Notamacropus eugenii: one gene and its partner. The protein of the gene in region 1 purifies or fractionates together with the protein of each later gene. This does not show direct contact. Links are inferred from orthologs where the notes say so. Each region holds a gene or a part of one and is shown in the gene's direction. Other genes may lie near its edges.

What was found.
Region 2: the proteins of KIF23 (region 1) and ECT2 purify together in Homo sapiens (co-immunoprecipitation; 3 studies listed by BioGRID and IntAct, with this or other methods). This does not show direct contact. The link is inferred for Notamacropus eugenii from reciprocal best matches to the Homo sapiens genes KIF23 and ECT2.

Annotation. Positions count from the first base shown.
Region 1 is NC_092872.1:132,837,226-132,853,847, forward strand, and holds the start of KIF23 (kinesin-like protein KIF23), read left to right. Parts: upstream 1-7,809; 5' UTR 7,810-7,923; coding exon 7,924-7,934; exon of another isoform or gene 7,935-7,935; intron 7,936-13,510; coding exon 13,511-13,580; intron 13,581-15,808; coding exon 15,809-15,937; intron 15,938-16,622.
Region 2 is NC_092877.1:351,526,965-351,543,419, reverse strand, and holds the start of ECT2 (protein ECT2), read left to right. Parts: upstream 1-9,625; 5' UTR 9,626-9,772; intron 9,773-15,734; 5' UTR 15,735-15,756; coding exon 15,757-15,889; intron 15,890-16,455. UniProt on the Homo sapiens protein: Guanine nucleotide exchange factor (GEF) that catalyzes the exchange of GDP for GTP. Promotes guanine nucleotide exchange on the Rho family members of small GTPases, like RHOA, RHOC, RAC1 and CDC42.

The DNA of each region.
Region 1 (16,622 bases):
CTGCCCATAGGGAACATCTTCAGCATTCATCAGTTTAGTATTCAATATCTCAGTTCATAAGGATTTTCCCATCTTGGTTCAGACGGTTTCCACTTCTAAACAGGATTAAAACTCTTTGTATTCATTATTTGTTTCAATACAATGCTTTCATAGGACTAGGGTTAAGTGTCTGCAGAAAGTATAGAAATTGTGAGACAATAAATTTATAATGGACCCACTTATAAACTCTCCTCTTTCAGATCATATTAGAGTATAATTTTTTCTCATTCATGAATACCCTAAATATTTCATTTGAAATGAAACTGATCAAGATCCTAGAATAATCGTGTACTCATTCAGGTAATAATTTATTATAGATGCATAATCAAGAAATATAATTTCATGATATTATCAGTTTACTTCCTGTGGATAGAGTAGACTGGCAAAATAAAATTATGTAGGTCGTACTCTTTGGTACTTTATAGTAGTCTGCACTGAAGGATGAGCTATTGGAATATTCTTACATTAGAGATATTAGACCTTTATTGGCTTAGCTCACTCTTACTGTAATCTTAAATCTGTGGTGAATATGTTCAGTGATACAAATTTTAAATGCTTTTTTCTATTTATGCAAAAGACATCATGGTGATGACTGCAATGTTATTTTTATTATGTATGGTTGCACAGTGATGACAATTTGCTCAAGAATTGGATCAGAAATGATTAATGAGGACTATTAGGTTTTTATGGGGTAGATGTGAGTTATCTTTCAACTTGCATGTGACAGAATAAATTGTTAAAATCGACAGAATAAATAACCAATTTTTTCAAAACTTTCTACGTTTGGGTATATTATATCTTGGTAGAGGTATAATGCATAAGATTTTTTCATAAAGTTTATGGTCAAAGATACAAAATGACTTATAAGACATGAATTTTAGAAATTTTCTTCTAAAGTAAACTAAGAATTATTTACAAGTTCAAGAAATATCACTTACATTTCCTTAGGGATAAGAACTGGACCTTTGGGCTCAGTGATATATATATAGTACTTACAGATGAGGGAACTTTCTACAAATAAAGTTCAGTTCCTTCTCTGTAACTTATCAACAGACTTGCCTACAGTTAGAGCTTTGAAAGGTTAAGTGACTAGTCTTGGATCACCTAGAACTTCTTGATTTTGGGGGCCAGCTCTATATTTATTTACTCTACCACAACGCCCTGCCCCATCCTCTCTCCTCTCTCCTTTCCCATCCCCCTCTCTCTATGGAGAGAGGTAGAGGGGATACAGATATAATAAGCAGTATCATATAAAATGATATGCAGTTATGTCTTAGTACCATTAGAAAGCTGAAGGAATGGCAAGCAGTTTACTGATACACCCAATAGGAGTATATCTTGTTATCCTCAATTTTCCTAACATTGCAATTAAGGTAGATTATGTTTGGAAGAAGTCATTTATGTTCAGATCATACTGATCACTTTTAATCAGTACCTGAGAAAAGGCTGTAACTCCTTAAGTAGCTATGCAATGTCTCTTTTCTGAATAAATGAACTGATGCTTACTGATAACAATATAATGATAATTTGGAGAACCTTAAATGACTGTGGCTATAAAATTGATATGAATAACGTTTGGTCTACTGATTAGACCACAAACATGAACTAGTTGAATGTTGGTTTCTTGCCAGAGATCCATTATGGATGAAAAGATAAGGTCAACTGAGCCCCCTTTCTAAATAAGAGATGTTTTTCAAATTGTGCTCCCTGTATAGATTTCTTGTTTCTAAAAACATGTAAAATAAAATTTATTTATTATAACAATTCATTTTCCCCATGATTTTGGTCATTTTTTTTTATCACTTCATAAATACACATTTATTTAAGAAGGTTGATGACAGATAGTTCACTCATGTTGGTTAAGAGGGTTTTCCTTTTAGAAATACAGTATCAGAGGTTTTCCTAGATAGAAAAAACATGTCAATACAGCCTTACTCTGTCAGTCTGAGGTGAATTTGGATAAGCTTTATTTAGCTACTTAATTTGTCTATTAGCTCAATTTAGGCACACGTGCCACTGTTGCAGTCTGAAATGGCCATCCATCTTCTATATATCAAACATATTTTCCCTTTGTGTAAACCTTGTTTAGACATATCTACTCCATTAAGACTCTAATGTTCACTTCAGATCAAATAATGGTCAGGAAGTACAAGAAATGACTGTAATTCTTTCAACCTCAAATGGCATAAGAGGTCAGCTAGAAGCCCAAGGGCAATAGGTAAGACAGGCCACCAGCTAAGTCAGCATCTGCTAGTGCCACTAGAGATGGACCTGGGACAGTGTTTCCCAGGAATGCTGTCTAGAGGCAGTATGAGCAGAATCTCCCCCTGTAAAGCCTCAGGGTGGTCAGAAAAGCCTCAGGATAGGAAGCTGGGAACCAGAAGGCATCACTACAACAGAGACCAGAACACCCCAGGCCCAGGGGGCTCAGAGGCTTCTAACACTCTGTTCTGAGATGCTACAGAAGGTCCTGAAAATCCAACGCTCAGAACCTTAAAGATCAGGAGTTCTTAACCTTAGAAGTGGTTACCAGTAGAATGCAGATGACCGAGGATAAGCCCAAAACCATTGCACACAAAAGCACATTAGAGACTGTCACTGTCCTAATTCAAGAGCTAAAGCTGGAGAAATAAGTAAATCAAAGAAAGGAGAAATCAATATCAAAAATTATTGTAAATCTAGAGATTCCCCCAAATGAAAAAACATGTAACTATAACAGCTGCAAGCAGAGGCACCAAGGAAAAGAAATGGATTTTGAAGGAAAACATAAAAAGTGAAATAAAATCTCTCCTGCAGGAAAGAATTGAAAAGGTATTAAATAACTTAGACGAGAATGTGGTAAACTTTATCTAAGAAATAGAAACTAGAATAAACCAAAAAAACCCCAAAAAACAAAAAACCAGTGACTCCATGAGATGGCAAAAATTATTATAACCAAATCAAAAAGGTAAAATACAAGATATTTGTTAATAAAAGCCTACTGACCTGGAAAATAGATCCAGGGGAGATAATTTATTTTTCTTTTTTAAAAAATTTAATTTTAGTTTTCAACATTCACTTTTAATAAGATTTTGAGTTCAATTTTTTCTCCCTCCCCTCCCCTCTCTGCTCCCCAAGATGGCATATAATCTAATATAGGCTAGAAGTGTACAATCATATTAAACATATTTCCACATTAGTCATGTTGTAAGGAAGAATCAGAACCAAAGGGAAAAACCACAAGAAAGAAAAAAACAAAAAAAGAGAGAGAATAGTATGCTTCATTCAGACTCTATAGTTCTTTCTCTGGATGAAGGGGAGGTAATTTTAAAATTACTGGATTTAATGAAAACCACAGTTTTTTTATAAAAGCTTATACACTATAATTTATTATTTTTTAAGTAAAGAGACTTAATTTTTTTTAGTTCTGAATTCTCTCCCTCCTTTTTCCCCCTCCCTCACCCAATGAGAAAGCATGAAAAACAAAACTTATTACAAATATACGTAGTCATGCATGACAAAACTGCATATTAGCCATGCCCTCTTCCCCTCTAAAAAAGCAAGAAAAAAATGCACTCTGAGTCCATCAGCGCTCTCTCTGCAGGTGAATAGCATGCGTCCTTTGGAATTGTGGTAGGTCACTGTGGTGCTCACGTCGTTGTTCTCCTGGCATTGCTTACTTCATTTTGCAGCAGTTCATAAAGGTTTTAAAATCATTTCTTTCATCCTGTCTTACAGCACAATAGTATTTGTCACATTCGTATACCATAACTTGTTTAGCCATGCCCAATGGGGATCCCTTAAGTTTCTTTGCTACCTTAAGATTCTTTGCTACCACTAAAAATTTATTTTTGTACATATGGATCTTTTTCCTCTTTCTTTGCTCTTTTTGGTGGATAGCCTGGAAGAGAAGTGAGGCTGGTGAGCTGCACAGCCCTCCCTCACTCAAAACAAAGTCAAGTGCTAGTCATGTCATCATTCCTCTGAGGGTATGGTCCTCTTCGGCATTGAAGGACGAACACAATCCTGTGAGTAGATGCAGCTGGCTGAATAGGGACCCAGCTAGCTGGGTAACTCAGCTTCCCTTCCCATCTTTTCCGTTTCCAAAACCTTAAATCTACTACACTCTGAAGCTAGGATGACAATGAGCCCCTGCCCAAGGGCTCTTCTGGACCCTCCTTAGCTTTAGAGTGATTACCAATAGTAATTGTTGCTGTTTCCCACCCACCCTGATGTCTTTGTTTTTCTTGACCTTATTAAAGGGGCCATGACCTGGCTACTTCTTAAACAGGACTATTCAATGAATGGGCGTTACCTCACCCTAAGTGAGTGCCTGCAAAGACCTTGGCCTAAAGGGCCCAAGGTCACCTAGTGCATCCTTGGTCATCTCCAGTCATCCTGAGAAATATCTGGTCACTGGATCCAGATGGCTCTGGAGGATAAGTGGCTGGTGACCTTGCACAGCCCTCCCTCACTCAAAACAAAGTCAAGTACAACTCATGTCATCATTTCTCTGATGGCATGGTTTTCTTCAGCAATGAAGGACAAATACAACACAAGGTGAATAGCCTTAATAGTTGTACCTTTGCTGGGGCAAAGGATATGCAGTTCAATAGCCTTTTAGGCACAATTCCCAATTGCTGTCCAGAATGGTTAGACTGATTTACAATTCTACCAATTGCATTAGTATACTTGTTTTTCCCTTATGTTATTTTCTTTTTTGTCATCTTAGCCAATATGATGCATATGAGATGGTACCTCAGAGTTGTCTTAATCTGCATATCTCTATTGGTGATTTACAGCATTGTTTCATATGGCAATTGATGGCTTTGGTTTCTTCCTTTGAAAACTGCCTATTCATATCTGTTGATCATTTATCAGTTGGGGAATGGTTCCTATTATTGCACATTTGCCTCAGTTCCCTATACATTTTAGAAATGAGATCTTTGTCAGAAAAACTTATGGCAAATAATTTCTCCAGTTTCTTGTTCTTCTTACAATTTTAGCTGCACTGGTTTTGTTTGGGCAAAATCTTTTAAATTTTAGATAATCAAAATTATTCATTTTACCTCCTGAAAACCCTTGTATTCCTTCCCTTATCCATAGATGTGACAGGAAAGTTTCCCTCTGATACACTAATTTTTTTATGCTAGCACTTTTTATTTCTAAATCATGAGCTCATCTTTGAGCTTATGATGGTATATGGTATGAGATGTTAGTCTATGCTAGTTTCTGCTAGATTTCTTTCCTGTTCTCCCAGCAGTTTTTGTCAAATAGAGCTCTTGTTCCCTGTAACTGGGATCTCTGGGTTTATCAAACACAATGTTACTGTGTTCATTTTCTTTTGTATATTAGATACCTAATCTGTTTCACCGATCAATCTATTTCTTATTGAGTACCCAACTTTTCTGACAATTACAGCTTTGCAATACAGTTGACATCTGGTACTCTTAGTCCCCCTTCCTTACCTTTTTTTTTCATGGATTCCCTTGATATTCTTAACCTTTTATTCCTTCATATGAATTTTGTTATTTTTTTCTAGTTCTATAAAGTAATTCTTTGATTATTATGGAATTGAATAAGTAATATTGCCATTTTTATTATATTGGCTCAGTCTATTCAATTAATTTTTCTCTGATCTGTCTTTGTCGGAAAAGAGTTTCAAAACTGTGTTCATATAGTTCCTATGTATGTTTTGGCAGGTAGACTCCCAAATATTATAGTGTCTGTTGTTATTTTAATAAAATTTCTCTATCTCTTCCTGCAGGATTTTGTTGGTAATACACAGAAATGCTGACGATTTGTGTGGTTTTATTTTGTATCCTGAAACTTTGCTGAAATTGTTCATTGTTTTGACTACTTTTTAAGGTGACTCCAGGTTTCTCTAGGTAAACCATCATATTATGTACAAAAAATGACAGTTTTGTTTCCTCATTGCCTATGCTTATTTCTTCAATTCTGGACATTATACTTTAAAGAATTATAAATGAAAATTGCCCAGATCTGTTACAACTAGGGGACATAATAAAGACAGAACCTACTAATCATCTTCTGAAAGAAACCCCAAAAGTGAAAGTCTCAGGAATGTCACAGTCAAAATCCAAAAGCTCCCAGATCAAAGAAAAAAAATATGAACTACAGTCAGGATCACATAAGACCTGGTAGCTTTTACTACAAATAGGAGGGATCTTGGAATACAATGTTCCAAAAGGCAAATAATCTGGGTTTACAACCAAGAATAAATTACTTGGTAAATCTGAGTATAATCCTACAAAGAAAAAAAAAGTGAACCTGCAATGGAACAGAAGACTTTCAAGTATTTCTGATTAAAAAGATCAGAGTAAGCAGATTAATAACTTTGAAATATTAACAGTCTAGAGAAACCTGGAAATGTAAGTTTATTTGAAAGGAATTGAACAATGTTATTAACATGGAAAGACAAAACGAGTGTCCCTTTATAACCTTAATCTTTTTAAAGAGTGTGAGGGAGTAAAACGGTGATGAATATGGGTAGGGGGTAGGGCATAACATGGATTTGCTCTGAGGGTTGGAAGGAAAGAAAGAGTAAAAGCAGAATATTACTAATGTGAAAAGGAGGAAGAAGGGCATGAAACCACTATCATAACTGGGGAATAAGAAAAGAGCAACATTGTAACAACAGAGTAACAACATTGTAAAGAAAAGCACCGTTGAAAGACTTAAGCCTGATCAAAGCCAAGATCAACCACATCTCCAAAGGGTCTATGAAGAAACTTTGTTTTCCACTTCAGGACAGGGGTGATGAACCAGCACAAGGGTGGCAAAAAGAGACATAGAATTTTGCTGGCGTACCGAGTTAATTGATTTTGCTTGGTTATGTTGATTGTTGCAAAGGTTTCTTCACCACCTTGCTGAAGACTCCTCCCTCTACACCTCTATTATCGTAATAGCCGGCGGGTGGGCTCTCCCCACTCCAGTTCATCCTCCCTTCTACGGTCAGAGGGATTTTCTTAAAACGCAAGTCTGACCGTGTCACCTCCAGATCACTTCGAAGACAAATACATAAAATCGCCCGGCATCTGGAGCTCTTCATAATATGCTCCCCCCCAGTCTCTCTCTTTCTTTCTCAATAACGAATAACCTGACGCTACCAGGCTGCTTTCCTGGTCTCCAGAAACTCATCATCCTGAAATCCTCTGAGAGACGCAGACAGACAGACAGAATTACCTGCAGCCCTCTCGAGGCTCTGGCTGCCCCCAGGCCTATCACGCTCACGTCCCAGCCTCCCCAAGGCCCCGCTTCTGCTTGTCCTGTCTCTACCACGTCTGTCTACAGCGGATGGCACGCTGCCCACCGGCAGCCTGGGAGCTCCTGGCTTTCGCTTTCCCTGGCACTCGGGAATCGTCCAGCGCTGGACACTGGCTCGGAGGGAGGATGGCGGAGGGGACGGACACGTGAGGGGAGATGAGGAAGGCCGCAGCGTAGCCTCACACCGCTCAGTACGTAGGCAGACAAGACCCGCCACCCAGGGCGTTTGGGATTGCGGGGCGCGAGTACCAGAAGTCGGGTCACTGTTTTCCTTCCGGAAGGGAAGTTTGCCCCTCAGCTGTTGGTTTCCTTGGAAACGAGTCCCACTTCCGTCCTCGAGGGGGGACGCTTCCCGCCCGAAGCCACACTCTTTGCCCCGCCCCGGAGCACGTGGGGGGCGCCGTGGACGCTGATTGGTCCGTTTGAAATGCGCCGGGGGCGCGCGCCCGCCCGGTCCGGTTTGCCTCGCTGGGCGAGGGTGAAGAGAGCGACCGTTCGGCTTGTGCGTCAGGGAGCTCTCGGGGACCCGAGCGCGGCGACAGAGACCCCCCAGCCTTCCCGCCAGCTGGCCCCGAGCTCTCTCCGCCGCCTGCCGCCGATAGAGCGCCCGCTGCGGCCATGAAGCCAGCGTGAGTGTCCGCGTCGGGATAGCGCGACTTGGCCGCTGGGCTGGGGGAGGGGAGGGGAGGGGGCTCCCGGGGGCAGGGGTCGGGCCCCGGGGCGAGACCCCCCTCTTTTCGCCCCGGAACGGCGATCCCCGCGAGTGCCATCGCCCGGGCTCCCGCCGGGAGCACAGCCTGGGGAAGGGAAGGCGAAGCCTTGGGGTGCGTGGGGCAGCCCCCCTCCTTCCTCGGGGCTAGGAATGGGATGCGTCCCTCCTCCGCTCCCTTGTCTCCAGACCTGACCTGGCGTCCTCCTGGACTCCGAAGGCCTTCCCCATGCTTGCCCCGCCCCTTCCCACTGTCCCCAAACTTTCTTCAGGCAAACTTAGCAGAGGAGGTAACGGAGGCCGGCTGCCCTGCCCCCCTCCCCTCTCCCGGTCCGGTTCCGCGCCCTTGTGAGAAGGGGAGGCCAGGCCACCCATTTTTATTCATATCTTTTGTTTTTACTTCACCTTGGATTTCTTAAGTGAAGTCATCCCTGTGAGTCATCTGCCCCTCTTTTAAAAAGGGGGAGAGGGAAGCAGCAGTAAAACCACCCATACATTAACTTTTTCTGATAAGACTTAGTGCTGTGGGAAACTGCTACGATTTGGGGGACACCGTGTTATTTCACACTGGTAGTTCCCGTCTATCACTCCTTTACCCCCTTACCCTCTCCCTCCCTCAACCCCCTCCTGCCCCTGGCAAAGAGACTTCAGCCTTTTTTTTTTTTTTTTTTAAATTTAGAGGTCCTTGGAGGGAGGGTATTGTATGTAGGTCTTTTTTGTTCTGGTCTTAAAAAGGATAACCCTGGTATTGCTTAGAGATGTAGACTGGTGCAATGAAGGAAGAACTGGACCTGTATTTTAAGACCTGTCTCTGCCAGATACTGTATGACCTTGGACAAGACAGAGCCTCTGTACACCTTAGGTTTCACCATCTGTAAAAGGGTAACAGCTACCACTCCTGCTTCACAGTGTTGGCTCTGAGAAAAGCCTTTAAAATGCTAAATATGGGCTATTATTGAGTACTGTTAGATGATGTACTGTCATTTAATTGTCTGGGAATCAGAGTAGTAGAGAAGCTCATTTGTAGGGTGATTATTATCATTCTTTAACTGGAGCAACTCTGTAAACTCTTTACTAAGGGGTAAAAGGTTTGTGATCTGCATCTGTAGAATTAGCTCCCACACCATTAAAATCACAGATTCTTGAAGATAGAAACGTCAAGTCCTACCTCTGACACTGAATGAGCTGTGTGACCATATTATTTAAGGGGAGGAAATGTGACAGGTACTGTGTTAAACACTTTGCAAATATTATTTGCAATATATTTCAAATATTATCTCTGTATCTCTGTATAGAAATGCAGCTCTATGTGTAACTCTCTATAACTAATTATAATTTATATATGAGCTGCTCATGAAGGAGAGTGGCCACTTTCCTAATTAGTAGATTGCTATTGATGAACTCACAGTTCTAGACCAAGAGATAGAAACTATAGACGTAGTGAAATGCATTGAAAATACATGGAAGTAAAAAAGAAAACCTGTTAACAAGTAAGAAATTTATGGTTTAGGGCATAGGTATCTGAATAGGAAGCATAACTTTTTGTAGGAAGGAAATAATGGTGTTTGGTCTGAGCATTCATTCACCCATTAATCTCCCTCTATTTTACCTATTGCCATCAGACTTCTTCCTACCACTTTACTGAAACTGCACACCATTGTCCAATTATTTGCAAAATTCAGTGTTTTTAAAAGTCATTCTTCCTTACTGACCTCTCTGCAGCTTTTGATTGTTGACCAGATGCTTCTATTGGTAACTTTCTTGTTGGTTTCTCATATCCATCCTTGACTCTTTGCTTTGGAAATTCTTAAGTGTCTGTCCTTGGCTCCTTTCAATCAAAAAGAATTCATTAAGAACCTACTATTCCCATACATTGGAGATACTGGTACAAAGAATGAAACAATTCTTACTCACAGGGTACTTATAGTCTCAAAGTGAAACAAGTATATATAGAATCAAGATGGAGAATATATACAAATTGGTTAAATATAAGGTTAAATATATAAATTATATAAATATAATGAGATTAAGAAAGGAGGGAGATTCTGTGAGGCAGAGATGACTGAGGATACTCCATAAGTGAGGGATAGAATACAAAGGACAAAGATAGAATAGGAATTGTCATTTGAGGAACAGAGAGAAGGCTTGCTTAGTTGTGTCCTGGAGTTCAGGAGAGGAAGTAAAGTCCACTGAGACTGGAAAGATGAATTGGGATCAGGTTTCTACTAGGGGCTTTAAAGTTTATGAGTGCTCCTAAAAGAAATTGATTTGTGCTTGTCCTTCATGCTCAAAGAGGACTAAAATGACGTTACCATGTCTGGGTCAGGGTGCAGTATGTCTGACAGTGGCTGATCAGACCAGTAGGAGCTCAGAAGCTCTACCACAGTCAGGCACAAATAGTCCACATGAACATTGCACATCTCATGTTCCTTTTGAGCTGCTGTAATTTTGCTGTGCTTTATGAGCACAGCATCTTCTTGGGTGTGAGCGTGCCATGCTTGACAATCCTGTACAGTGTCTCCCATGTCTCATAATAGATTCCTTTGTTCTTCAGAGAGACCTTGAGAGTACCTTGTATCTTTTCTTCTGACCTCTGTGTGAGGATTTGCCTTGTGTAAGTTCTCCAAAAAATAGTCTTTTAGGCAAACTTAAATTTTTGAACAGTGTGACCAGCCCATTGGAGTTGCATTCTGTGCAATAGAGTTTGAATGCTTGGCAATTCAGCTTGAGAAAGAACCTCAGTGTCCCATACCTTATTTTGCCAGAGTGGTCTTCAGAATCTTCCTAAGACAGTTCAGATTCAGTTTTCTTGAAGAAATTGGGAGCCCCTGGAGTTGGAATAAGAAAGTTATAATTTTGTCAGCAGTTTACAGGGTAGATTGGAATGGGAAGAGATTTAAGGCAGGAAAACCAAGTGATGTAGGCAAGAGATGATAAGAGCCTGAACTAAGTTTGGAGCTTTGTGAGTAGACAGAAGTGGTCAGATTCCAAGACTCAAGGAGGCAGGAATTGCTAAATTGGGTAACTGTTGAATATGTGGGGGGAAGGAAAGTAAGGAATTGAGAATAGTGCCGTCTACCTTGTTTCCCATATATAGAATCTTGTTTTTTACTTTTCTCACTTTTTACTTCTAATCCACTATTAAATCACGTTAGTTCTGCCTCTTTGACATCTCTCATGTCTTTATTCCTTTTGCCCCGACTCTTATCCTACTGCCCTGGCAGCTACATGATGCAGTGAGTAGCATGTAGGGGCTAGATTCAGGGAGACTCATCTTCCTGAATTCACATCTGGTCTCATACACTTACTAGCCATGTAACCTTGGACAAGTCACTTAACCCTGTTTGTCTCAGTTTCCTCATCTATAAAATGAGCTGGAGAAGGGAATGGCAAAGCACTCCAGTATCTTTGCCAAAAAAAAAAAAACCCATATGAGGTCATGAAGAGTCAGACACACAACTGAAAAATAACTGAACAACAAAATCCTACGACTCACCTAGACTATTGCAGTGGTCTTCTTAAAAGTCTTTCTGCCTGCACTTTCCTTCCTCCAACCCAATCATAGCCAAGAATAACTTTTCCAATAACTTTTTACTTGTTCCTTATTGCTTAGTAAACAAAGATGTTTTCTTTGCTTGGCATTCAAGGGCTGCCACAGTCCAGTGCCACCTTACTTTTTTAGCGTTGTCCCATATTGCTTCTTTCTGTGTGCTCAGTTCCCTCTTTCCTGGGTACCCACCTACATTCTCCTGCTGTGTTCATTCTATTCCCTACTCTAGGAATGACCTACCCCCTCCTTACCTGTGGATTTCTTCCCATCTTTTAAAAAACCAACTCTGATGTCACTTCCTCCATGAACATCTTTGAGAACTGCTCTTCCCTTCTGCTTTAATAACATTATTTCCTTTGGAAATACTTTGTTTCATAAGTCTCATGTACTTAGTTGTAACATTCTATATGATAATTTTGTTTTGATATTTTATCTCTACTAGACTATATGCTTCATGAGGGACAGAGACTTTGTTTTGTATGAACTTTGTATTTTGGTGATAAGCACAGGAATTTGCATATAGGAGGGACCTAAGTATATGTTGAATGTTAAATTTAGTGAGCACCTTTTGCATGTATGGTATTTTGTTAGTTACTGTGGGAGGCACAAAGATGAATTAGATGAATTTTTTCCTCTCAAGGAAAGAAAATGTAGGGGAGGTAGAACATACATATAGGCAACTGTGCAATAAAATATGATCCATGCGTAGGAGAGGTACAAGAATCAGTGGGATTTGGAGGAAGGAGACCTTGATTTTTCACTACAGAGACTGATCAGGAGTGGCTTCATGACAGAGGTGTCAAAGGGGGTTTTGAAGAATGACTCTGATTTCAACACATAGTCATGAAAAAAATCAGGTTTTTTTCTTGAAACATCATTTCTTTGGTTAAAAATTAATTATCCATTTTCTGTGGAGTTTTTTTTTTCCCTGGACATTGACTTGTTGGATTGATAACATTAGACTTAGTTTTCCTGTTCTTTGAGGCTTTTTTCAGATGAGAGTAAACAACGTTCACCTTCAGTTCTTAGTTATATGTACATTTTCATTTGGATTATTCTCTGCAAATTTTATGTTAACCACAAGCAAATAAGAAAGCTAATTTTAATATGAACTTATGAGTCTAGTTTTTTAAAACTTCTTTTAGAGTCAGTAGTAATGGTTAACATACATTCCATTCATTAAGCACCTACTGTGTGCTAGGCATTGTGCTAATCACTGGGAGTACAAACAAGAAAAAGAAAGACAGTCCCTACTCTCAAGGAGCTTACAATCCAAGGAAAGAAGACCACACAGAGAAGGAAGCTGAGAAGTGTGTATGAGTGAGTGTGCTAGAAAGGGGTGAAGAGATGCACCAGGAGGCATTAAGTTTTTTTTAAAGTTTTATTCCGTTTGAACTTGGGGGAAAAAACATTTCTAAGTACACAGCACAATATAATGAGAGGATTCAATATAAAATCATAAATTTTCATTTTGTACTGTTTACTTTTGTTGGAAAAAACTACGTAGTACTCAGAGTGGAGTTGAAACCTAGCAGAGCGATAAAAAATGGAGTCACCTGGAAAGTTCTGAGCCTTCTCCAAAGCTCCAGTTCTCCAATCAGAGGGGAAAGGGATCTTAGGGGATTAAGAAGGTGTTGAGTGTCAAAAACTGAATTAGTCTACATGATGGTGAGATTTCAGGTGATTAGGTTATCCCAAGAGAGGCAAGAGATTCCATAGAATTGAAACCATACAGAGCTACTGATGATCTTGACAGTGATAGTGCCTTGTTAATATTCCATTATGTATGGATTGAAGAATGAAAGTTTATTATCACTGTATATTCTTTTATTATTATTATCATTATTAATAATAAGGAAGATTGTATAAAAATAGGAAAATTAAAGGGAAGAATTTGTTTTTGTATGCTAACTTTGCACTAAGATTTTGATTTCTTTTATGACCAGGAAAAGTAAAACTCCTAGGAAGCCAATTCTAAAGAAAGGAACCCAATCAAGTCTCAAAGATCCAGTTGGGGTAAGGTCGCCTTATCTAATTTCTTTTAACTGCTCTTTTATGCTGTATTTTACTACTTAAAAGAGTAAGAAAAAAAATGTGCAAACAAATTAATTGAAGTAGGGTTTCTGTGGCCAAAGAATTCATCATTTTGTGGCCAACCTGTTGTTAATGAGTCTTAGATACTCTGGCTCTTAGGTAGCAGATGCGGTTTGTCTCTGGGTATTCTGAGCCCTTTATTTTTGTAGAACATGCCAGTGCTTGTGTTCTGTTGGTATGGACTTTTAGAACCCAGGGTTTTAACTATGCTGTGATCATATGTAGTATAGTGAAAAGGGGACTACATTTGGAGTCAGGAAAGGTCTGGGTTTGAATCCTCTTCAGTAATTTAGTAGAAGTGCAACTGTGAGCACATTGTTTTATTCTCTGTTTCTCAGATTTCTCTATCTGTAAAATGAGATTACTGTTGCCTATAGTACCTGCATCACTGAGTGGTCATGATCAAATGCAATCGTGTAAGTAAAGGCATTAGGTGGAAACCTCACTTAGTCTGTTTGTGGTCAAGGAAAAAGAAGGGATGGGAGAGGATATAAGAATTGACTGCAGAGTCCTAATTATTAATTAACCATATTTCCAACTGCCTGTATTCATTGAAAAGTTTGCAGGTTTATGTTTTTCAGTTCAAAATAGTGCTTCATTTTAAAGATCTCCTTTGTCTTGGGCTCGTAAATGTGCCAGCATTACAGAGTGAGGGGAAACTCTTTGTATTTCAAAAGAGTGCAGTACAATGATTAATTTCAAAGTTTTGACTTCCTGCTTATAAGAAAATATGCCAGAATCATAGAATCTGAGTGAGAAGGGACCTCAGAGACCACCTACTTCTACCACCTTCTCAACAAGCTAATGATGAGGTTCGTCCCCCAGCAGCCCATTCTGCTTTTGAATAGTTCAAATTGTTAGGAAGCTTTTCTTGTTTGGAGCCTTAATCTGCCTTTTGGCAACTTCTTCTCATTGCCTTTGGTTCTCTTTCCTGAGATCCAAGTCACGGTTCCACCAGACTCGTCTGAGATTTACTTTTATCTGCACTGTGTAGATAGAGGTGTCAAAGGGATGGCAAGCTGCTTTAGAACACAACCAGAATGAAGTGTAATTGGGAAGGGCAGCGAGTGACAAGGACTTGAGTTCAAATGCAGCCTCAGGCACTTGATATTTACTAGTTATGTGACCCTAGGCACACCACCAAAAAACATAATTGGGAAATATTTAGCAAAATAAATAAAAATGCCGTAAAATAGAGGTAGTTAATTTTAAATTGTAACAGTTACATTTTGAAACTCAAGTCATTATGTAGTCTGCAGGGATCCTTAGTCTTGGTTTAGCGGCTTCTATTTGTATTCGGAACTGACACTGCTGTTGTAGATGTCTTATATATACGTAGTTGGTTGTTTTGTTTTGGTTTTTTTTGCATGTTCTGGTATTCAGTAGAATAAAAACTTCTTGACGTCAGGAACTTTGTTTTATCTTTCTTTGTATCCCCAGCACTTAGTGCAGTGCCTGTCACGTAGGAAATGCTTAATATATGCTTATTGATTGATAAAAAGTCTTAATCCTTAAATTCTTCTTAGAGTTCTTATTTGTATGTAATGGTTCCTTTCACAGCAGTGCTTACCTAAAACTGCAAATGCTCCCTTTCTACTTTCAAGTGTAGGCCTGTGAGTTTAAAGTTGGCTTCTGCACATAGTATGTCAGCTGATGGAAGTTTCTATGATATAGGATGTTTACTTCAAAGTTATACTCAATCATGAGTTGAAGAAAGATTCTCTGAAAGTAATAAATAACTTTTACCAGTATTTGAAAATAAATATTAAGCCTTACAGAAGTAAGGCTTAATTTATTTGTATTAGTTGTTAAATTGCAAATTTAATTGCTGTACACTTCAGAGGTCTATCTATTGTTGATTATTAATTGTGTTATTTTAAGTTTTTTTTATGAAAACCTATTTTAATTTAACTTTAGACATGTAAAATTTTGAAAAGTTTTAAGTTGTAGCTCTATTTTTGTACGTACCTTTTCTCATCCTAAGTGATGTGTTGTTTGCATTGCCATCTCATAATTTTAAGTTCCCTTTTTAAAAATTGATAAGCCTCTAAGCAAAAAGTTAGTTCCTCATAAAGAACTAACACTTCATTCCTTAAGGTGGTTTTGATTAGTTTTAAATAAATAGTAATTTGGGTATTCTTTCATTTCAGGTGTACTGCAGGGTTCGCCCACTGAGCTTTCCAAATCAGGAATGCTGCATTGAAGTGATCAGTGATACTACAGTTCAGCTTCATACTCCTGAAGGATACAGAGTAAACAGAAATGGAGACTATAAGGAGGTACTAGTTTATATTCATGAAAGGAAACCTGAAGGAGCTGGTTTTTCATTAACATTTCATGAACTGTTTCTGATTTTCCCCCACTTTTGTTGGTTACAGTCAGCAACCAGCCCTTTCACTCTTGATGTTAAAATTCATTTAGCCATGTAGTAAACTGATAGAAGTGTGTGTGTATGTGTGTGTGTGTAAAAATATAAGAATGAATGTGATCGTAGATATTCAGGTTTTAGGTTTTTATCATAAAAATACATACATAAATCATTATAGAGTCATATAGTTGCAATGTGGTGCAGTGGAATGGAGTAAGTACTGCATTTGAAGTCAGTGGAAATGGGTTTGAACCCTGGCTTTCCTAAACACTAATTGTGTGACATGGACGTGTCATTTCAATCACTTCACCTCTGCCACTGTCAGTTTCCTCCTCTGTAAAGTGAGGTGATTGGACTAAGTCTCTGAGGTTCCTTCCAACTCTAAATCTGTAATCCTATGATTCTCCTGGGTTAGTTTTATGCTTTACATTTTGAAGCTGAACATTTGAATCTTTATTCTAGGCATTCTATACTAGGAGAATGTGTTGTGGGGAAAAGAGTGCTGGACCTAGGAGAAACCTAGTCTTAGTTCTGCCTCTGATGTTAAGTGAATTTGGGCTAATTACTTATTCCCTCAGAGCTTCAGTTTCATTATC
Region 2 (16,455 bases), on another chromosome or scaffold:
ATTAGTTTGGGTCCAGACTTAGGATTTTATTGGTACAGGGGACTCCCAGAGTGGAAATTCCCTCTACCATTGAAGATCAGAAACATCTATAATTTATAGTTGAGTGGAGTGGTTCAGGTTCAGTGAAGAGGTTGACTGGCTTGTTCATGGTCAAAAATGGGATGTGATTCCAGGTTTTTCTGACTTCTCTATCCATGTAAACCAATGATGGTAAAAGTAGAAATGGGAGTCACTAAAACATAGATAAAGATTTCTGTGGGCTACATGTTGAATCAGAAAATGATGTATGTTTATATATTTCTTTTGTCATTGTTATTACATCAGTCTATTCAAATAGGGTAGGAATTACATTTTAATCTGGTTCAGGCCATGGCCCAAGGGTCCTATATTTGATACCTCTGCATGAGACCATGTTTCCCCTCAAAGAGGAAGGTGCCAGTTTTAAAAGACCCAGGGCAAAGTTTATGTCACAGAATTACTAATATCCTTACTTTCATAGTATAACTTAGGATTGGCATTTAATTTTACAGTGATTTTCTCCAGGGCTATGATTTAGAGGACATATATTTTCTTTTGCCAATCCCATTCTTGGGTAGGGGGGAGTGGAGAATGGGGGGAGTGGAAGAAGGCTTTTCAATATTTAAAAATTTGGAAAACAGTTCCCCAGAAACTGAGAGGCAGTGTGATTTGGAAAGAATATAAAATGTGGAGTCAGTGAATCTGGATTCAAACACTGACTGTTTTTAAGCAACTGTAACCCTAGGTTATTACTCAGATCCTGTTTCCTAATTTATAAAATAAGAGGATTGGATTAAATAATTTAAGGTCCTTTTCTATCCGTAAATCTTATGAAAATGCCTATAAAAATCTGAGGGACAGGAAGCCAGGGACTTTTTAAAAGTCAAGCATTACTGTTCTTGTGTTTGTCCTTCGTTGCCAAAGAAGGCCATGCCATCAGAGAAATGATGACATGAGTTGCACTTGACTTTGTTCTGAGTAATTTGCTGGTAAAAGAGCAATATGTGGTAATATTGATGAAAAATAAAAGGAAAGAGTAAATAATAATGGAAAATGAGGTTAAAAAAGACCCTTTCATTTTTATTAGCAGATTCAAGTTTATAAGTTTATATTCTTTACAGTAGCATATTATGGAGAGAAATTATCTTTTTTTAAAGAAAAATTAACATAAAATTATTCTCCTTAACTCTTTTTTTTTTGAAACATAGGGCATACTTTGTAAATAAAATACAAATTTCATTTTATTGTATTGACTGTATTAGGAATATCATAAAATTTAGGACTGTAGAGATCATAGGATCATAGATGGGACTTCAGGGGTCATCATTTCCAACTTCCTTCTTTTACAGATGAGGAAACTGAGGTCCAGGGAGGTAAAGGGAGTTGTCCAACTAAGGTCACATGGGTAGTAGGCATCAGAGTCCAGGCTGGAACCCAGTACCCTGACTCCAAAGGCAGTGCTCTTTGCACTGTACTATACCTAGTTCAATTTTCTCAGTTTAAAGATACAGAAACTGTGACCCATAGAAAACTAATTTGCTGGAGGTCAGAGACAAGAAGCCAGGATATGAATCCAGGCTTTCTGCAACCCAACCTAGGGCTCTTTCTGTCAGACTCAGGCTGCCTCATTGGCATTGTGTGCCACAGAAAAGAATAATTTTTCAGAAACGACTGAAATGTTTAGATGTGGATTCAGGCAGGTATTCTTCAGAGTTCCCTGTTAATTATTGGCAAGAGGGCTTCTAACATGGGAGGCCCATTTTTCCTGTTCTGAATTCTGGATTCTAGGTTCTTTGCAATAGTTAAATCAGTTCTAGATTTTCAACAGCTTGGTGTAGTGGATAGAGTATTGGTCTTTAAGTTAGGAAGACCTAGGTTCTTATCTTGCCTCTGACCCTACTTAGCAGTGTTGGGGCAGCTAGGTGGTACAGTGGATAGAGCACCAGTGCAGGAGTCAGGAGGACCTGAGTTCAAATCTCACCTCAGACACTTGACACTCACTAGCTGTGTGACCTTGGGCAAGTCAGTTAACTCCAGTTGCCTCTTCTTGGGTCATCTCCAGTTATCCTGAAGAATATTTGGTCACTGGATTCAGATGGCTCTGGAGGAGAAGTAAGGCTGGTGACCTGCACAGCCCTCCCTCACACAAAGTCAAGTGCAAGTCATGTTATCACTTCTCTGATAGCATGGTCTTCTACGGCAACAAAGGACGAACACACACTTAGCAGTGTGACCACTGGCCAGTGGTCTCTCAGAATCTCACTTTCCTCATCCATAAAAATGGAGATAAATAGAACTGGCTCCAGAGGGTGGAACAGGCTTAAATGAACATGTGTGAGCAAACCTGAAGAGCCACTTAAAACCTCTTGGGCTCATACTCCATGTACACTGCACCATGAGCTCCTCTACTGAGGGCTCCTTTTTTGGATCCAATCGTTATTCCCTGGGATCCTTCATTGGGGCTGTATTTACATGAGGTCAGGAGCTCAACAATTTTTATAGGAGGGGAGAAGGGTAGAAATTTGGGAGACCTATGAAATGAAGCAGTACAGATGACTAGGAAAAAAATTAACACTTGGAGAAAATGGGGAAGGGCCTGAGAGCCAGTGGGACGTGCAAGAGCTTTGCATCTGTAGTCATCAAGCCTAGGTTCAAATACTGAGTGCTATCAATTAACTGTGTAACCCCAGGCATGTTACTTGCCTTCTCTGATCCTGTTTCCTAATTTTTAAAATTAAGTCATTGGACTAAGTAATCTAAGTCCCCTTCCATCGGTAAATCCTGTGAAAATGCAATGTAATCTGAGGGACAGAAAGTCAGCGTGATCAATAGTGGGGCCAGGTGGTGACTTTGCCATTTAGGATTCTAGGTCACACTTGCACAGTTTGGACCATCAGGGAAAAGGAGATCCACATGTGGTTAAGCTAATCAAACTATGACTCAATCGTCTCCCTAACATGTGAACTGTATGGAATATATATTAAGGTATGCAAAGCACTTTCTACATAAATTACTCTCTCATGAGAACTTCCACCACCCTGTGAGGTAGAGACTTACGGATATTACTCCCATTTTCAAATGAGGACATTGAGATTCAGAAAAGTTGTTACATGACTAGTTAACTATCAGAGGCAGGATTTGAATCCAGGCTTTCCTTTCTTGTCTCCAACTGTAGCACAATAGCCTCTATCTTGGTGCCTCAGTACCCTGTTTATGAATGAAATTATCTTGTCAATCAACCAATTCCTCAATCAAGTGTTTGTTGATGACCTCCTTTGTGTGAAGTTCTGTAAGGAAGGAAGGAAGGGACTGGGGGAGGGACAAGGATGTGATCCTTGTCTCCTGGGAGCTGTCAGACCAGTCAATGTGCTGAATCTAGAAGTGAAGGGTTTTCAGTTTCAGTTCAAGCTCTGCCAATAATTAGTTGGGTTCTCAGAGGAAAGTCACCCAATGTCTTTGGACAGGTTTCCTTGTGTGTGAAATAAGGAATTTAACAGATTCCATCATTTTCAACTCTAAAAAATATTTGATAACATAGAATTCACATTGTACATGAAGCTATTTCTGTGTTGCTATGCTCAGGGGAGAGAACACTGGGCCTGGAGTCAGGAAGACCTGAGTTCAAATCAGACCACAGATACTTACTAGCTGTGTGACTCTGGGCAAGTCACTTAAAAATCTGTTTGCCTTAATCCACTGGAGAAGGAAATGGCAAACCACTCCAGTATCTCTTTGCAAAAAAACCCCATGAACAGTATGGTTCACAGGCTCATGAAGAGTAAGACACGACTGAGCAACAGAAGCACCAACTTAATCAGTTGAAAAGTGAAAAAAACAAACCTCGGTTAGTCATAGGACACCAAGCAGCCAATTCAATATAAATTTTCACTTATTTGAATTTTTTTGTTTTGAAGCTGAGTTGAGTAAATTGGCTTCTGGTGCTAGATTTTATAGAAATTACACATGTGTATTTATACTTTTATACATTTATACTACAGAGGATTATTTACAGCCTACTGAACCAAGTGTCCATTATATTGTATATTGATTAATTGATAGGTCACAGATTAGACAGAAAAGTAGATGATAGATTAGATAGGTAGGTAGATAGGTAGATAGATAGACAGACAGATAGATACTTTTATCTTTTGAGGAAAAAGTGACAGTCTTGGTTTTAAGCTTAGCCATTTGCTTCAAATGACTAAATCCGTCCAGAGACACCAGTAAACAATTCCCCTACCTAAAATTCTACCTAAAATATTGATTCTTAAAACTGAAATAATTTGCCACCACCCTCAATGCACATATCCTATTTCCTCTCCTGACCTACTCATCTCTAAGAATTAATATTAATAAGATATATATCCTAGACAAATAGAAATAGTTCGCTAATGTGTTGATATGAAGCTGGTGACATTGGAGAGAAAAAAAAACACATGACACTGGAAAGTTTTAACATGAGGTTTCTCCTGCATTTTAGAGGATATGATGAACTTCAGTCATCACACAACCATGACATTAATAGTCTGATTCTTAAGAGCTTGAGAAACTCACAAGTGAGCCTGCGGAGCAGTATTTCTAGGTTCCTATAGCATAACTACATGGCCACATCACAGGGAAGCAGACAGCAAATAACTCGGCTCAGTCAGATTCAGCTGTAGCCATGTTGAACCTCACCACAGTCTTCTGGAGGAAAAAAAAAGACTGTCATAGGGACAGTCATTATCAGCATGGTTCAATGGAAGAAGAGAGGAATTGGAGTCTGAGGACTGGGTTCATCCTTGTTCTGGTACTTTCTTTTTTCATGGAGGCTATCAGGGTTAAATGACACAGGATCACACAGCTAGTAAGTATCTGAGGTCAAATTTGACCTCACGTCCTCCTGACTCCAGGGTTGGTTCTCCATCCACTATGTCACCTCGATGTCCCATTTTCTGTCCCTTCTTACCTACATGACATTGGCAAGTCCCTTACTCTGTCTGGGCCTCAAGTTTTTTTCCTCTGCAAAATGAAAGGCTTTGACAAAATAACTTCTGTGGTCCCTTTAAGTTCTAAAGCTATGATAACCTAAATAGTAACACCTGATAAAGGTGTTTATGACCAGAAGGCTGGCACAGTCTAGTGGATAGGTCATTGGAATTGTAATCAAGACCTGTGTTCAAATGCCACACAGACACTAGCTACGTGACCTAGATGAATCACTTAACCTCTGTGCCTCAGTTTCCTAATCTATAAAATGATGTATTTTGACTTGATCTATAAACTCCTTTCCATCTCTAAGACTATAAATTTTATGATATTTAATCCTTTTACATTTAGATTTGTGCATCTGTGCTTATCTCAGTTTTGAACTCATTTAGTACTATGGAAAGTTCTTGAAAAGCCCAATGTTCCATGCATGTATAAATCATTTTAAAAAAGCCTATGATTTACTCATGCCTAGTGAAGAAACTTCCGCTCCCAGTGCAGATCAATACCTGCTCTGTAATTTACAGCCAGAGAATTGCCTAAGGTACTAAGAGATTAAACGAGTCTTTGGGATCTCTAGCAACTGCCTTATAGCTACCTCTTACTCTGATTTCTGAAATGGGGAAACTTTAATCCTTTAAATCTAGGGTGAACCAGTTATAGAAATGATATATAATGAGATGGGCTGAATACAAGAAAGTCAGTAATGTGTTCCTATCTTTGGATAAAAGATATTTATGGTGTTATACCTGTCATGTCATAATTAAGGTTACTTCAGGAAGGTTACTTCCTGAACACAAAATTGAACCACAAAACTGAATGCACATTTAGCAATGGTAAAAATCTTGGTGCTTTTTATAAATAGCATCAGTTAAATTGCTGTATTTAGCTGATAAACTATTCAATTAACAGAGTTGATGGTGCTCCATTTGAAGTTGAACCCCTTCCTGCTCTGCCACTAACTAGTTTGATGTGGGCAAGTCCCTTCCTCAATCTGGGCTTAACTTTTCTTATCTGGAAAATGAAGGGGGTTGGTCTGTATGATCCCCAACATCCTTTTTGCTTTGAAAATTTTGTGAATTAAATGAGAATAATGTCCTTTGAACTCACTGTCAAACTCAATAATTCAACAGAAGCAGAACCTCCCTTCCACTTCAAGGAAAACTAATCCCATTTGTCCAAATACAACTTTAAGTGCTAGATTTGTGCAATTTAATCACGCTGTACAAATTGATTTATATCCTAATGATTTCCCTCAATGAAACAATGATTCATAGCCTAATTATTGACTGTTGATGTGTATAAAAATAGGCTCCACTGTTTTAAGATAATTGTACACAGCAGATAGGTTAAAAAAAGCCACCTTATTACAACTAGCTTGAAAGACGAATTTAATCAGCAAATTCTGGGCATGGCAAAGCAATTTCCTTTTTTTATTCATTACTTTCTTTTAGGCAAAGAAGCTTAGGTTTTTAAGCTCCTAGGCAAACTCCTCTATAAAATGAGGGGTTTGGACAAAATGATTTCTGAGGTCCCTTCAAACTTTAAAGCTATGAACATTTAAACAGTAACACTTGGTAAAGGATGACCAGAAGGATGGTATGGTACATTGATAGCATGGGGAACCAATGGCCTCAAGGCCACATGTGGCATTCTAGGTCCTTGGGTATGGCCTTTTATGACTGAGTCCAAATTTTTCAGAACAAATACTTTTATTAAGGAGATTTGTTCTGTGCAGTTTGGATTCAGTCAAAGGGCTGCACTTGAGGACCTAGAGGGGCATATGTGGCCTTGACCCTCAGATTCCCTACCCTGGGCATAGTAGATAGGTCACAGCTTTTGGAATCAGGAAGATGTGGGCTCAAATCTCACTTATTAGCTGTGTGGCTCTGGTTGACTCTCTTAATTAGGAAGTAAGATTGGATCTTGTTAAATCTCTACAGAATTTCTGTAGAGATTGTGCACACAGGCAGCCCAAGCCATAGGGTCGTTTCTCACTGAAAGGAGCAGTGGGACTTGGTGGTCCCCTGGGTGTGTGAGCAGCCTTTTAAGAATCGAACTGCTCACCTCCTAATGTGAGGAAGAGGGCTAGAAAAGGTGCCCTAAAAATTATCTGCTAACCCAACACTGGCCTGATTACCATGGCAGGTGGGGAATTCTATTCTGCCGTCGAAACACAAAAAATGTACAAAAACATCTGCAAAGATGATCCCACTCACCATTGGCACATGGAACATGGGCACACTTATAGACAACACAAAATCCAGTAGACCTGAAAGACGAACTGCTCTTGTTGCAAGAGAACTCAACAGGTATCTCGTCCAAATAGCAGCCCTGAGTGAAACCAGGCAGGCAAATGAAGCCCAGCTTACTGTAGCTGGAGTTGGATACAGTTTTCTGGAGTGGCCATGGTGAAGGGGAACAGAATACAGAGACTAGGCCCTTAATAAATGGTATATTTTATTTCTAAGCAAATAATGAAAACTACATTCATTAAATTCAAACTTTAATTTATTTAGCACATACTATATGTAGGAGACACTGAGAGACAAAAAAAAGAAAAAAAATAGTCTTTATTCTTAAGGAACTTCCAGTCCACTGGGGAAAGCAGCTAAGCACATGGCAAATTATGTTCTAGCAATGGTGTGTGAATCCAGGGGTGGAGTTGCTATTCTGATTTGGGGGCATCCCATCTCTTCTAGGGGGTGCTCTTTTTTCCTAGTTCCTTCCTTGGGTGGATTCCAAGGGGAAAGCTATACCTTTCTATCAATGAATGAATGAATGAATGATCTTTTACTGAGCACTAGCACAAAGTACCGGAAACACAAATACGGAAAAAAAAAGCAAGACAGTGTCTGATGTCTCCGAGTGAGAGAAAGCCTATCTAAAAGAGATCAGGTGCAAGGCTCAGGAGGTCAGTGCTTGGGGTATGGAGGGTTTGGGTTAGGAGGCTTGGTAGAGTTCAGACGCCTTAAGGAGGCAGTGGCAGGGCACCTGGTAAGTCCTGGTCTTTCACTTCACTGAAAGGTTTGTAGTTTATAGTTAGTGACTGAGCTCATCCTAAGGCTGGGAGCAGCCATGTCCAGACACTTAGCTCTTCCTTATTGGGTACTCTATTGATCTGGATGAATCTTACCTGTTTGTTGAACTGAGCTAGAGTACTTAGTTTCATCCAATCTAATAAGTATTTATGTGCCTACTATGTACAAAGCACTGGGGACATAGATAAAATGCAAAACACAACTGTGAAAGGGTCCAGGGTTGCATATTCTGCCTTATTAAAAAACACAAAAACCCCACCAAATCTAATTCTTTTAGAATTAGGGCGATGCTTCTGGATGACCAAGTGTTGCAGTATATAGTGCTGTGACTGGATTCAGAGAAGCCTGAGTTCAAATCCTGGTCAGACACTCAGTGGCTGCGTTTGCCACACTTCGGTTGTAAAATGGCCAGAGTTAAGAACACCTACGTCCAAGGGATGATGGTGAAGCACCGAGCACACTGCCTGGCTCACAGTAAGCACCATGTACGTGCCGGCAATTATCTTAAGGCAAGGGGAAAGTCTTTGGATCGTCAAAGGCACTGAGGAAGCCTCAGCAGCCGCGCTTAGCGAGGCGGACTCGGTGCCCACAGCAGGATATCCCTCCCAAACCTGACATTTCCTCGGATCCAGAATCACAGATAAGAGATACGTGGGTCTGGAGGATGCCTGAGGGGCAGTCCACGTGTGAGGAGTCCTTGTCCACCTCTGGCAAGGAGCGCCCCAAGGGGATTCCCCGCCGGCGCCCCAGAACCCAGCACCGCTGCTTCTCCTGCCAGACCCCCCTGGCTCTGGCCACGGCACCGCCAGGGTGACCCGGGGCTCTGCTCGGGCACCCGTCCCCCAGCACGCAGGGGCTCCGCCTGTCACCGCCTCTGCCCGGGACTTGGGCTGGCTCCGCGCCTCCGGACAGGCTGGGCAGGTCACCTCGGTCCTCCCGGCGATGCCCCGAGCCCAGAGCCGCCCCCGGGCGGGCCCACGCTCCGCGGGCGCAGCCGGGGCTTCTCCAGGCCTCCCCCCCCATTCCTGCGGCTCTGACGGGGTGGCCCCAAGTTCTCTTACGTCCCCTCTGCTCTAACGTTCTAGGTTCTCCCCCTCTTCCCCCCGCTCCCGCTTGGTTCTGAACGTCTTCTCTGGTTGTGGACCCCACGACACAGGAGACGTGAGAGCCACGGCGGGAGCGCAGTCGGACGTCAACTCTCGGGGAACGGACCAGGGCCGAAAGCTCGGACTGAGCCGCAGGAGGCCCGCAAGAGGAGCCGGTACCGGACGGCGGCCCTCTGCGCCTGCGCAGGTCTCCCCAGCGTGGCCGCGGACTCCCGGAAGTGGGATGTGGGAGGCCGCAGCCTCCGCCGCGGCAGGCGCACCTGCTGCTACAGGGGCAGGGGGCGGCCACATCCGGGCATTTCTCCCCCCCCCCCCCCCCGTTCCCCTGAAGTTCAGAGCCGTTGGCCAATTTGAAAAGCACGCCCAGCCAATCAGCCTGCACCCACGGCGGCGGAGCGAAGGAAGGAGGGAGGGAGGGAACAGGTGGAACGATGGCGCCCAATCAGAGACCGCTCGCCCGCCTCGGTCTCTCGGACCAATGGGAAGTGAATTGACAACACGTGCGCCTCTCCTGGGCCAATGGGCGAGCCCCTTAGGAGGAGCCGCTCACTTTTGAATTGGCGGCGGCCGCGGCCGGCGGGGAATGGCGGATGCGTCTGGAGGCGGTGGAGGCCAGACTCGCGGTGACAGCGACAGCGGGTGAGGAGGTGGTGGTTGTGGGGGGCAAGGGGTCCAGGGGCTGGGCTCGGGGAGGACGTGCTCTGCGCCCCCGTTCCCGCCTCGGCTGGTGCGGGCGCGGGAGAAGCCGGGGCTGGGGCGCCGCCCTCCTCTCCCCCCTGGGTCAGGCGCCCATCCTTGACCCTTAACCCCGCTGGGCCTCGGTCTCCCCTTTTGTAAAAAGGTCTCAGCGCCCCTCTCCTGCCGCTCGAGGGTCTTGTGAGGCGCTGGAGTTGGGGCGGGCTTGATGTCCACCACCCCATCCCCCTTTTCCGCGGTGGGGAAACTGAGGCCCAGGGAGGCGGAGAGACTCCCCTGGTCTTGGGGGTGTAAGTCCCATCACCTCCCTGGGTCTCAGTTTCCACTACTGGCAAACGGCGCTTAGCACACAGTAGGCGCTTAATCCGTGCGCACTGACTTGGGCCGGATCTCCCTCCAGGTCCAAGTCCCCGTCTCAGAGGCTGGAATCTGCCCCCCTCACCCCCACCCCCAAGTCTAGGGGAAGGAAGGAATAGACATTCCATGAAATGATCCGGGGGTGGGGCCGACTCAGCCCCTCCCTCCCTGTCCTGTACACCCGTTCACTTGCTTTGAAAAAACAAAGGGAGGATAATATTTTCCTCCTATCAAGCAAAATCAGCAGGCACTTATTAAGCGCCTACTGCACACAGAGTCAGCGCTTAATAAACGTAGGATTGGATCTCGGGTGAGAGGTGGAGTTGGCTGTAGATCTCCCACCGAGCCCAGCCCCAGCCCAGACAGTTACTGGTTGTGGGCCCTCTCAGAGCCTCGGTCCTTGTGCCTAGTTTGCTCACTTGGACTGTGAATGGTGATGGACTCTCTGCAGGACCCCTGTCAGGCTCATTGTGAAAGCTGCTGCATCCTTGGGCCGCATTAAGCAAGGCCTGGGGGCCAGGAATGAGCTGTCCTGGGCAGGACTGGGGTCGGAGCTTTGGACCTGGAAGGGACTTGAGAGCTCCTGCCTTTGCAAAAAGGCATCGACCCACGACATTGGAAGGTTGTGTTCATTAGTCAGGACGCTGATGAGCTCTAGCAAGTGAAAAGGGAAAGGGAGGGGATGCTGCAGGAGAAAGAATCTAAGGAACTGGGGATATTTAGCCTGGAGGACTTGGGGGAGAACTCTAACTGCCTTCAAACATTTGAAAGGCTGAGGAGGGTTAGCCTTGTCTAAAACTAGGAGCAGTGTAAGGGAAAACTTCTTCGCAAAATGAAAGGGACTGCCTCCCAAGCAAAGGCTTGGATGATCGCTGGGGTGGCACAGTATGTTCTTGTTCTAACTGGTGGACTGTCAGCCTCTTCCGGCCCTTCCAGGTCCCAAAGAATGTAACAAATCTTAAAACGCTGTAGAAAGGTAAAAGTTATTACTATGATCACTCAGACCTGAGCTAATCCAACCAGAAGCAACAGAAGTAGGACAGATTGCAGTTATTATTCTCTCACTGTCACCAGCTAGCCCAGGCATTCTAGTTCAGTCCTTCTGCCTGGAAGGTAATTCAAGGTATTTCAAGACCTCTGTTGAAAGGAAATCTAAAGAAGAGAGCTTTTTTAAAATAGCAAATTATGTTTGACTTAGAAAGTGATTTGCAGCCTTTTATCTTTCATCAGACTTGCTAGAGGGGGGCTTGCATATAGGAGCTTTACCTAAGTAAATTACAAAATGTATTTTGAGGAGTAGCAAAAGGTTACTGTTGCCACTTTAAATACTATGTAAGTTTCTTGAGGAAGCTCTATATTCTTTCTTTGTATCCCAAATACCTAGCTCTGTGCCAGCCATAGTAGACACTTAAATTATTTGTTAAATGAATGAGGGCAAATGATACTTTTGTTTATTTCAATTCTCGACTTTCCAACGAATCTTTGGATCTTGTTTATTATCATAGTTCTATCACTTCTCTGAAATTCCATGGAAATTCTTGAGTCAGAAACTGACTTTGGAATAGTTTGAAAGAGCTGATTGAGTAGGGTACACTTGGGGAAACATTAGTTTTAAGATAATTCTTTTCACGTCCTTTTAAGTTTACATTTTTCTTTATTAGTTTTAAAGAGACACCATGTAAAGTATGTCTAAAACTTAAAAAAAAAAAAGCAAACAATTTTTTTTCCTTTACTGGAATTTCGAACAGCATTGAGGGCAGACCTGAGGGGAGGGGAGAAGATGAACTAAGGGTTCAAGATGATTTGAATGGTCCCTGTTGCTTTAAAAAGTTGGTCAAAGATATTTTCCCAAGAAAAATTTCTCTGAACTGACCTTAGAGTCTGTTTACCTTAGAGCTCCACTAAAAATTCTGTAGTGAGAGTCCAGTAAATGTAGTTTGTAGATGTAGATTGCCCATTATCATCTTAGGAAGTTCTAGCCTCAGTCAGGGGCTTTAAGAGTTCCTTTCACATATATTGGAATGATTTGATGGTTTCTGTCATCGTGAAGGTTTTTTTTTTAGGTTTATCATACACCTGATCCTTAGCTGAGTCAAAGTTACTGTTAGAACTTATGATTTTATATAATAAGCATAAAACTGTGCACAGATGCTTAATACATGTTTGAATAAGTCTCATACCAAATAAAGACCATCAGGAAACAAGTGTTTTTGTTACATTTGATATCTTAACAATTATCTGAGTGCTTTTTGGGAAAAACTTAGACACTATTTCTAAATTATTAGGAATTGTAATTAGGTATTAAAAATGAGGATAGCAATAGTATGCAAACCGGGAAAAATGAGAATTTGTAGTACTCACATAGAATTCACTTTTGAATAGAATGAGACCGCTAAGTCTAAAGAAGACCTTATTGTAACTCACTTGGAATGCTATTTTCTGTTTTGTTCAACCCCACCCCCTTCTCTCTCTTCAACTCATATTGTCCTAGAAATAGACTGTTTGCAGACTGATGCCAAGCACCAACCTGTGCAAACTTGTCCTCTTTCAAACCATTTCAGGAGACATGGCTAAATGTTTCTCCTAGCAGCAGGATTTCCGGCTTCATCTGAAGAGAAAAAAATCTGTATCTTAAAGTTTTCAAGTAGAATTGTGACTGAGAAAAGATCTTTGATTCAGATCAGTCAGAAGAGAATTTATTGTTTGCCCCTGTCAATTTAAAGGCAAATATGAAATGGTCTGTGTCCTCCAGGGGGTCACAGTCTATTGAGGGGATACTATCAATCAGCAAGCAATTGTGAAGCACCTACTGTGTACCAGGCACTAAGATATAGGGAATACAAAAGATAAGTGAGAGCATCTGCCCTCAAGAAGCTTATGTTCCAAAGGGAGAGAAAATATACATGGTAATACATATAGAAAACATACAAAATAAATGGAAGGAACTTTGGGAAGGGGGTGCACTAACAATTCAGTAGAGTAGGGGAATCCAGGAATTGTTCTGTGGTACATGGCACTTGAGTTTGTCTTCAAACGAAACTCAGAAATTTCAGAGGTGGAAGTGAGAAAGGAGTGCCATGGGTTCAGCCAGTACAGAAGCACCCACATGGTCATTGTAATGCCCTGTGTGAAGAACAGTGACAAGCCAATTTGGATGGACCAGGGAGTTTGCCTGGAAGAGGGGTTGTTGGTCTGAGCCAATGCTAAGCAAAGCGGTTGTATTTTATCAGAGAGAAAATGGGGAGACATTGGAGTTTACTGAGTAGTTAGACCTAGGCTTTGGCAGCTCTAGGGAATGGATTGGGGAAAGGAAGACAGACCAGTGGTTCCCAAATTGTGGTTCCTGGATCTGGACCTGCAAGGTCAAAACTATTTTCCTAGTAATACCTGAGATGTTATTTGCCTTTTAAAATACACATCCCTTTTCTAATTACATATCTGTGTGAGGTCAGATTTCTTCATATACTGCAACCAGAAATTGTAATAGGAGTTTGAATGCAGAAATAGATATGAGAATCCAACTGTCTTCTATTAAGCCAGCCATTAAAGAGATTTGCAGAAATCATTAAAACAGTCCCACTTTTATCACTAATTTTTTGGGAACATATAGTTATTTTTCATGAAAAATATTATTAACATTTAGTGATTTTCCTGTTTTTTAAAATAAATTAGTAAATATTTTAAAAATTTATGAGTTTTAATTTCTAACATTTTTATCAGTAAATATGAATACATTTAACCCACGTAATCCTCTTTGGAATCCTCAATAATGCTTAAGAGTATAAAAGGACCAAAAAGTTTGAAAATGGCTGGATTAGGTTATTACAGTAGTTCAGGTGAAAGGTGACAGATGAGGACTCAAACCAGGATAGTAGTTGTATTTTTAGAGATCTGAACATGGTCAAGGGATGTTTATCACCTGCATAGAGATAATTGAACCCATAGTAGGTGAGGTCACTAAGAGGAGTATAGAGACAACAGGGCTCAAGACAGCCATGGGATTCAAGTGCCAACTCTGATATGTACTAGTTATGTTAGCCTGGGGAAGTTGCTATACTTTTTGGTGCTTTAGGTTGGAGTTGTGGATGGAATTGTTATTCAAATAGGTGTTCATTCAAACCAATCCATTACTGAGATTCTGTGAGGTGGGAGGGATACTCATTTAAATGAATACTTGTTTTAAAAGTGAAAAATACTGTTATAATGTGAAGAAAGCAGCCAGCTTGAATGGAACCTGTATTCATGTCCAGTATAGAATCCTCTGAGGTTTAACCTTGTAAAGTAGAGATCTGGTCTTAGACCCTAGCAGAAAGGAAATTAGAAAATCATTTTGGGATCATTTGTGAATTGAAGTACATTTGTAGATGAATGTTCAGGATCCTTCTCATAGCATAGACAGTTACCATCAGCAATATAGCTACCTTTGTTTTGATATTATTTGAGTCTAGAGTTAGATTCTTGGTGTGGTATCCCTACCTCAAAGGTAAATCAGCCTTTTCATCATGTGCAACTGTCCTGCCTCTTCCTCCACAAGGTGGGGAGGGGGGTCAGGAGGAAGATGGCTTATGATTTGACAAGCTCTTCTAGGTTCCACTTTGGTGGACGGCTGGACACTCTTGGTTTTTTCTTGTCTGATAATTAACTTCCAGGGACAGTGTGCAGGCTCTCCAGACTGGATAACAGTGTGGTCTAATGGAGAGAGCACTGGGTTTGGAGTCAGAAGACTAGTCTCAGTTTTGCCTCTTCTAGTTATTGCTAAGGGATTAGTTATTCCTGTTTACTCCTTCACTTCCTTCTCTGTAAAGGGAGGGACCTGGACTATATAGGACCTTTGAGGTGATTTTCAGGTCTAAATCTGTGATCATGGAAATCACCTAATTTTACATCCTCCATATAATGCCTGAAACTGAGCACATAAGAACTGAATTTGTGATTTCACTGGCTGCAACATCTTCTCAGCAATTGATGGCCTAAGAGAGTTCATCAAGGTGTTGTGAGGTTAAATGACTTGCCCAGGGTCTCACAGCTAGTATGTTTTAAGAAGGACTTAAACCCAGGGCTTCCTGGCCCTAAGACCAGCCCTCTGTTCATACACTTGCATCAGGAAGAAGAGTGGCTGGAGTATTTTTTCTGTCAGCACTTTAGATTATTGGGAATGAAATTATATATCGAGAATGGGAGAATGCAGTGATGAGTGTTTGTGTTTATGTATTATCTTCAGTATTATATATTGGGTTATAAAGGAAACATCTTTAAGATTCTTGACTTTTTCTTGAACTTCGTTATGTATTTTTACTTCTGATGCTTTTATATTGAATATTAGTAAGGAATACAATGAATCTCAATATTAATTCTGTAACTGTATACATCGGACTACATTTTATACTGATAGACATTGAAGATGCTTAAGAAGTAATTAAATGATTTCTTTTTAAGAAATTGTGGGTAAAAGCAAATTTATCCTAAAACAATGCTTAAACTTGACTGGATAAAAATAATTTAAAAATAATGTTGCTATTCTGAATTTAAATTTCTTTTGAACTTTTAGGTAGAAAAGTTGAGAAGAATCAATGATGGCTGACAATAGTATATTAGTATCTACTGCTGGGAAGAGTCTCTTGGCAGATACCTCCATTTTTGATTCTAAAGTTCCTGAAATTTCTAAAGAAAATGAGCTTATTGGATCCACTTCAGATGCTGATGGTAATTATCAAAAAAATTTCATGTTTTTAAATGTTTTCAAAGCTGAATAATTTTAAAAATAAAAAAAGGGGAATGAAACCTAACTTTGAAGGTGGTGGCTGCTCCCTTTGGCTGCGTAGGTACTTGTTGGGTTAGGAGGTATTGAGGGTTCACTTTCTCATGTGAATTGGACTAAATGGCTGCTGAGGTTTCTTCCAAGTAAGATATTTTGTGTTTCTGCTTTAACAAGCAAACTGTCTGTGGAAACTGTTTGTGCTCTTTAAAAGAACCACCAAATATGGGTATCTTATCAGTAAATGTTTATTGACTCTGACCATGTTTTAGGAAAATAAATGGCACAGAAGGCACTTCGAATTTATGTTTATGTCTGGGTACAGTAAGCCTTTGTTGTAACAAAGTACTTAAATTCAGTAGAGCATAAAGTAGATATACCTGGTCTTCTGTTAACTTTTACCTTTAACTTTTTTTCCAAATGGATTTCCCAAATGATCTAAAGTGAAACTGTACAAAAAACCAATTTCATCTCGGTCTACTTTAAGAGGGTTATGATGGGTAACTCTAAGAAG